2 linked regions of the Tribolium castaneum genome follow. The main gene of each other region encodes a partner of the protein of the gene in region 2 in a complex. Links are inferred from orthologs where the notes say so. Each region holds a gene or a part of one and is shown on either strand. Other genes may lie near its edges. The genes, in order: Eaf6 and Ing5.

Evidence for each region.
Region 1: Ing5 (region 2) and Eaf6 share a complex: the UniProt entries of both Drosophila melanogaster proteins name them as parts of the enok complex. The link is inferred for Tribolium castaneum from reciprocal best matches to the Drosophila melanogaster genes Ing5 and Eaf6.

The regions. Positions count from the first base shown.
Region 1 is NC_087398.1:15,239,199-15,243,454, forward strand, and holds the start of Eaf6 (chromatin modification-related protein MEAF6), read left to right. Parts: upstream 1-1,148; 5' UTR 1,149-1,289; coding exon 1,290-1,367; intron 1,368-1,454; coding exon 1,455-1,658; intron 1,659-1,713; coding exon 1,714-1,750; intron 1,751-4,256. Other genes in the region: peroxisome biogenesis factor 2, read right to left, coding at 402-818, 867-977. UniProt on the Drosophila melanogaster protein: Component of the Enok complex which has a histone H3 acetyltransferase activity. Might be involved in transcriptional activation of selected genes.
Region 2 is NC_087398.1:9,636,854-9,640,579, reverse strand, and holds Ing5 (inhibitor of growth protein 5), read right to left. Parts: upstream 2,453-3,726; 5' UTR 2,164-2,452; coding exon 2,127-2,163; intron 2,078-2,126; coding exon 1,887-2,077; intron 1,838-1,886; coding exon 1,681-1,837; intron 1,634-1,680; coding exon 1,454-1,633; intron 1,297-1,453; coding exon 1,148-1,296; intron 1,097-1,147; coding exon 995-1,096; 3' UTR 830-994; downstream 1-829. Other genes in the region: myd (45 kDa calcium-binding protein), read left to right, coding at 1-264; cuticlin-1, read left to right, coding at 3,649-3,726. UniProt on the Drosophila melanogaster protein: Component of the Enok complex which has a histone H3 acetyltransferase activity.

The sequences.
Region 1 (4,256 bases), about 5.6 Mb from region 2:
GATTGCCTAATCTCAGACAAATAATACAGGATGTTTCACATAATTTTACGCGACCTGCGCCTCTAAAATGCCACCTACAACACATATTCCGATATACGAACTCGATTACAAATTTTGAAAAACTGGATTGTTTTTTCTTGTTTGTTCACTCCTTCAAAAAATTACGTTTTTAGTCAATTAGTGATTAAGATAAACAGATTACTGTCACGGGTTTCCACAAAATAAATAATCAAATGTGAATTTTTTGTATCTAGTGTTTTGTGACTCTTGAATATTTGGGTGCGTATGTATACATTTGGCGCAGGCCTCGTAAAGTTATGTGAGACACCCTGTATAATTATAATTACTATGGTTATCTAAACAATCAACGGAAAAATAAATTAAATTGAAAGAATTCTTACGATAAATCCATTCCAAAGTAATTCTCTAGATAAATATTTCGCTTCAAAATGCCTTGGAGCAGTTTTGGTTGAGTACTCTTGGTTCAAACCCAAACACCTTTCTATCAATAACGGTTTAACCCCACGTCGTAGAAATATGGACATATTGATAAAATTCAATAAAACTAAAACCATGTGTATCTTAAACATAAACGTGTTAACCTTATGCGAGGGCTTCCAGAACTCGAGACGATGTTTAACGTAATCAAAACAGTTCCCAAACAAGTAAAGAATTTTCTTGAAATTCGACATGTTGCTGTACTTTATTGATAAAAGTTGTTGCCCAAAAGTGCTCTCATTGCGACAGACTGAATTTTTCAGAAGCGCTAAACGCACAATTAGGCCCAACTCAGGTTCAATGGGGGCTATATAACCAGGCTAAAATTACACTTTCAGGCAACCAAACCTTAACAAGGGGGCACTTACGGGTAAGAAACGGCTAGTCTCGTGAAGAATTCGCATAAGGGCTTTGTAGATTTCATTATCAAGGAAAATTGCGTTCATTTGGGTGACTCTCAGTAACTTATCGTTGGACATTTTGCACAAGTTTTAGACAAATTGAGCGTTTGGAATGTTGATTTATTGCAACTATTTGTATTTTTGGCACTATTTGTTGTTTTTTAATTATTTCATAATGATCATAACCTCAGAATTTGTGGAACTTTTCGGGTTGTTATGTTGGCAGCGACGTCACGGGTGACGTATTTGACATTTGGCGAAACGTCAAGTTGTGAGGTGTTTTGTTGGAAATAAACAATTTTTAGTGTAATTACTTGAGGCACTTAGCATAAAACAACGACTTTACAAGTGTAACGTTTCCTTTTATCGTTTTGTGATAATAAGAACAATATGTCGGCCAAAAACAATGTTTCGGTGGATGCCCGCCAAGAGTTAGCAGAACTTGTTAAAAGAAAAGCAGAAATTGCGGTAAGAGTTACTTTATAAATGTTGAAGCTTTGTATTAAGAAATGTTTTTCTGTTTGGCTTAAATTCGCGGTCTTTAACCAATTATAGGAGACGTTAGCAAATCTCGAGCGCCAAATTTACGCGTTTGAAGGTTCCTATTTAGAAGACACTCAGTTGTATGGAAATATAATTCGAGGCTGGGATCGGTATTTATCGAGTAACAAAACAACAAACTCTAAGGCTGATAAAAGAAATAGGAAATTTAAAGAAGCCGAACGTCTGTTTTCTAAATCGTCCATAACCTCAATGGCTGTGAGTTGGGACGAGTTTTGTGTATTTTTTTTGTATTTTAATGAACGTTTTACAGGCGGTTAGTGGAATTGTTGACCAAAATCAGGAGAAAAGTAAGAATAGTTATGAAATAAAAAATCATTCATACGTCTAGTTTTTTTTGTATTCGTTTTGTAGCTTTTTTGTAGTGTTTGTGGTAGTTTTGCTGTGAACTTTCTTCTAGATAGATGTTTTCTCTAGTTTGGTCACTGCCTCTTATATGCACTGGAAAAATGAGAGACATTCCAATAGCTCTGTAAATGTTTTACTCTAAAATTATTCAAATTTTGCAAGCAATGAAACAAAATATTACAATAATTTAGAGTTTATTTTCATTGCTTACAACTCCCACAGGGAGTAAATTGGGAGGCATATTGAACATTTTACATTTAGTTTTACTTATTTATTTGTTTTGTTGTTAGTTGTGTCATAAACCCTACAAAAACAATTCACCAACAGTAAAACTTCTATAATCCGAACGAATTCTATTGCAGCAGGTTCTTCGGATTATCGAATTAACTTTTTTCTCTTACTTTAATTGAATAAAAAAAAATAAGTATTTTTATTTAAAAAATTTCATAGGGACATATACCGAGTAGAACAAACAAATATTTTTTTTACTTATTTATTTTATTGTTATTATTTATCATAAACCTCTAATAAATTCGGACTGATATTTTTTGAATTAACTATTCTCTTATTATTAAAACGAATAAAAAGAAACATTTTTTTTAACTTAGAGTGATCCTGTTAAGAGAATTGTAATTTTATATAAAAACTGTTGTTTGCATTGCAACACTTCGTTCAACAGAAAGTTAATTGACAGGTATTTTATTATTACTAATATTATTATTATCACAAAAGATCATAGAGGAGTCCCTGTCGGGACTATTTTGCTTAAAATTAAAATAAAAATAGTGGTGGTAAATACGGTATTTCAATTCCACCCAAAAAGGTTGTCAGTTCTTGATTTAAATCGCAAGATGTTAGGTGCATTTTTTATGACCATTTTATGTAAAACGAACACTAGGACAATCAAATGTTTATATTTTTATTTATATTTCTATTGTTTAGTTTTTCATAAACCATGCCAAAATAATATACAGTAAAATTTTTATAATGCGCACTAATTACTATTGCAAGAGGTTTTTAGAATTACCAAATTAACTTTTTCCTCTTAATTAAAATGATTAAATAAGCAAAAGTAAGTATTTGTATTAAAAGAAAAACAAATATACCTAGTGAGCCTGTTAAAAGCATGTTTCAATTTTATATGTATAACAGGCAGTTACGTTTAGAGACATTTTGAACATATTATTTAAAATTTAAATTTGATTAAAAAAATCAAGTTTCTATTTTTTAATTTTAGTTGTTTTAATGTTATTGTTTGTTTTATCATAAACTATATAAAAATACACTAAAACCTATTATAATTCGAAATACTTACTATTGCAAGAGGTTCTCCAATCGGATGATCGAATTACATTTTTTGTCTTCATTAAAATGAAATAAACAAAATACTCGTAAGTATTTTTATTAAAAAAACAATCAGAGAATTACATATTTTAATCACTATACAAAAATGTTGTAAACGTTGTTCATCTGGAAGTAAATTGAAAGACATTTTGAACATTTTGAGGAACAACGAATAAAAATATTTTTTACTTCTTTAATTGTATATTTTATCGTTAATTATGTCTGCAAGAACATTACACAGTAAAACCATTTTAGTCAGAATTACTATTACAAGGGGTTTTTCTATGTAACTACAGTAGCGAGGGGTGCTTCTTTTAGTGAGTTTTTCTCAATATTTCAGAAACCATTACAGATAATATTACAATATTTGATACAGTTAATAATCTTTATATTCCCAATCGAATTCGAGAATCTAATGTAATAAGAGCTGTCAGGTTGGCATTATCATAAATAGTATTTTTTTTTAATTAAGGTTGGTGTAATTTTTTACCTAGAAAATTCAATTTCCAAATTTTTCAAGTTGTCTCCAATTTACAAGACGTACAACAACACATTTAGTTATTTTAGACCACCTTTAGAGTAACGAATTAACGATTAACACTAACGTCCAATTTTCAAAAATGTCAAATCTGGTGTTCAAACTGTCAAATACAGAATACAGCCAGTTTCTAAAGTGGTTGAACATGAACTTTTAGGGTGTTACAGTCTTTATCAGAATTTTGACACTGACAGTTGATTATACAAAAAAATTAACTATAGAAATTTTGAGCAGGGGCGTTCCAAACTGGAGGGAAGTAGGGTAAAAAATATCCTAACTATGTGGATTTAGTTTTGTAACACATGGGCTTTAAATAAATTCTGTACTAGTTCAGGATTAGTTCTAAAAATCGTTTTTGTTTGAGTTTCAGAATTTGCAAAATAATATTGCATTGAAATTGAAATTGAGGTGTATACGTACAGTGTCATTCTGCTAAAAGTATTTTCTTCCTGTGTCTCAAAACTCAATAATTACACAGAGAATTTTTCGGCAGTTCTTTATACATAATTTAAATTAATTAATATTAAGTCACTGACGAAAAAATTCTAATGATATTCTTTCTGAAG
Region 2 (3,726 bases):
AGACAAGACGAAAATGAAAGACGAGCCGAGTTTCGCAAATCTGTTGATTTGAACGGAGACGGTCGAGCCGATAGGAGAGAGCTTTTACATTACGTTGCACCGCAAAGTCCTAGACACAGTGAACACGAAGCTGAAGCCCTTCTAGCGTTGGCCGATGGGGATCATGACAATATGTTATCACTCGATGAAATACTCGCACATCCAGACCTATTTTTAAAATCGAAAATGGTTGACACCGGGCGAAGCTTTCACGATGAATTTTGAAAGAGTTAGTTCTTAATCAGTTAATCACGAATATAAGACTGTGCTTTTAAGCAGATGCAGACGCTATTTTAGCTAGACACTCAATCGTTTCTTCTAGTTAGACAAGAGATATTTTTCAACTCAAATAAAGAATAAATAATGCGAATTTCTTTCACCCATCTTTTTCCAAGACACTAAAAATAATTTAGCAAGGAAGAAACCCCAGTTGCTTAAATTACGTATATTTTCTTTTTTTTATTAGACAAGAAATATATAGTATTCTCTGGTTTGAGCGTCATGTCGTCTTAGCGCCAAAAAGTTTTAATTTATTTTAAATCCAACCATTCCATTAATTTTTTTATATTATTTTTTTGTTTGCTATATGTTAACTGTTATACAGTAATGAAACAACTGCGCTCCCTGGCGATTTTAGTGGAACTATCGAGGATGGGAACGTTTAATTCGTACGTCGTTCCATTTCCTAACCTTTAGATATCCGTATTCTCAACTCAAATAACGAAATATTTTTTTACTCATCGATTTTCAAGAAAGGGAAGATAGTTTACCAATAAATAAACAAACAACAAATGCTTAAATTACGTTTATTTCCTTAATAATTCACACGATATAAATTTAATAAAATAACAAATGCATTATTGCTATTTCGTAACAAAACCATGTTTTCAAACGGTTTAAACTTAAGGAATAAGTTAAAATAAAAAATTGTCTAATCTTTTAACGCATCGATGCATTATTTCTTCTTTCTGTCTTGTGTGCATTTAGGGCAGTACCATTTACCCTTGGGTTTAGTTGTCAAGCCCACACAAGCGAAATGAAACCATTCAATAGGGCACTGAAAATTATTAAAAATTAATTTGCACACAAAACGAATTTGATTTCTTACATCTGGGTTATCACAACCGATCATTTCTCCGTATGATACTTGATGACAAAGGCAATATGTTGGTTCGTTTGGATCGACAGGCATATCCAGAACGTCGCTCGGATGTGCGATTCCAGCTAAGCCTGGCAGTACAGAGACTGAATCAGTGGCTAAAATAAAATTATTACAAACACTGTCTGTAAACGAAGGAAATATGGATTTATGCGTCATGTAAACACGGAGGCCTATAATGGCATTTCAGTTGATTTATTATTGTATGTTAGGCCTCCGTATTGTGAGATATAAAGGCAATGAGATGATACGAACCCTCACCTAGGGCAGCTTTGGCGCCACTGCCTGTAGTACTGCCACTATTTCCAGTAGAACCGGCCCCCTTTTGCTTCTTCTTCTTTGTGCCCCGAACTGTTCCCGTCGAGTCTTCTTCACTTGAATTACCAGGACGTTTCTTCTTCTCCGTTTTACCATCTTTGGTTTTTTTCCTACCTTCTGGAATAATTACAGTAACTATACATTTCACTTAGCAATTCTCTTACTCTTGCCAACTGAGGGCTCATCCTGGTTGCGGGAATTCAGAGCTTTGTCTTGAATTTCAGACTCAAACCTCGCTAAATCATTGTCTAACCTCCTAATGTGTTTATCAACTAGTTCATAGGTTTGAATTGCCAACTGGACTTTATCGTCACCATATTCCTATAAAAGGTAACAGTTTATGAATAAACTAACTAAACTCTCGCGTTACTTTTGCTTTGTTGAATAACGATTGGATTTTAAACAGTTGTTCCTTCTTCTCCTCTGGACTAATGGTTTTCTGATTTCTCAAAAAATTGTCGGATAGAGAGTCAATATTTTGCATTAAACCTTGCGCCCGGGAATCTAAATCCCGCATTAAAGTGAAATTTCTTTGCAACTCGATTGGTAAATGTTCCAAGCCTGAAAGTTTTACAATTACGTGTCTCTTGAACGCGTTATTTACACTTACTGTCCAGGTAATGCTCCAAATACAAGGCAGACGTCATGTTAGCACTTAATACTCTTCAAAACTTTCAAATTCGTAAGAAAAATCCTATTATTTGGCGCTAATAATAACAACACATTACAAAAACGACGCTGACAGCTGTCAGATTTGACAACGGCGTTCCAGCGTCGCCACATTTCACTATGTTCCAGAAAATTTAAAAAATCAAAATTATCCAAACAAAAGGACAAAATTACCGAACACTTACTTCAATTTCTTCAATTCACCCATAAATAACAAAAACAATTTATATAACTGGAGAAATGCTGATTTATTTTTTTGAACGTCCCCACGTGGCAACCTTGTTCACTTTTTTTGCTGCGTTATGGGAACGGCGCGTTATGGAAATTGTCTCTCCAGAATCGTTATTTATGCAATCTACTTACAGGATGGTTAAACTGATTGACGAACCACCCGTTGCTTGAAGAAAACGGTTTACATCGTGTGGTTGAATGTGGTGTTTCTCTTACATATTTAACTTTTTTTAGTGATTTATTACTACAGTTTCTCCACATATTCAAAGACTAATACGAAAACAGTAAATACACGTTGTTTTAATTGACAAAAACCCCAAAAACGATAGACAATTCGCAACACTTTCCCTTGTATAGATGGTTGCCTCCAAATAATTTTCAAAATTTTAAACTGAAATTTGATACAGGATCACAAAAATGTAGAGGAAAAATATGTAAAAACCTTTTTAATTTCCTCTGCAATAGCGAAATTATTTTTGCTCTGAAACTTGGAAAACTTCAAAATCAATTTTGGACAATGATTATTTGATCTATCCAAAAATGTAAAAATCTTTTTTTGTGCTCCTCCACACACATTTTGGTTTTAAATTATTATAAAACTGATAAAACTTTGTTAAAATTTTAAACTAAATGATAGACAATCCACAACACTTTCCTTTGTATAGGTGATTGCCTACAAACAACTTCCAAAAATTGCAAATTTAAAACTGGATTTTGGAGCAGAATCATAAGAATGTAAAGACCTTGACTTTTTGTAATCCTAATACACATTTTGGTGTATGGCACGTGCCCCAAATATTAAGCTCCCGCCCCGCCCACAGACAGGGTGTTTCACATGATTTTACGACGCCATCGCCTGTAAAATGCCTCCAAGAACACGAACTCGATTATAAATTTAAAAAAAATTAGAGTCTTTTCTAGTTTGTTCACTGTGATAATACAAACTGTCCTTACTTCCTCACTTAAGGATATTTTTCGTAACTTATGAAAGCGTTAAAATAGCAAAAAAAAAACAATAAGGGTTGTATTTTATTTAAACCAAACGATTAAAGACAAAATTATTTGGATAACAGTCGTAAATAATTGTAAACGGAATGAAAAAGTCAAGGTTACATCCGCGAGTTCGTTTACCTCTTCAAAGATTACTCATGATGAAACTCTGCGGTCGTGTGTTTGTTATGCACTATTTTTCCTGCACTCTCACAAAAATGAGTCGAAATTTATAAGAAAAAATGTCTCGATCGCGCCTATTTCCAAAACTTTTTATTGTTGCCCTAATCTCGCATTCATACAGTTCTGAGGAAAACAAT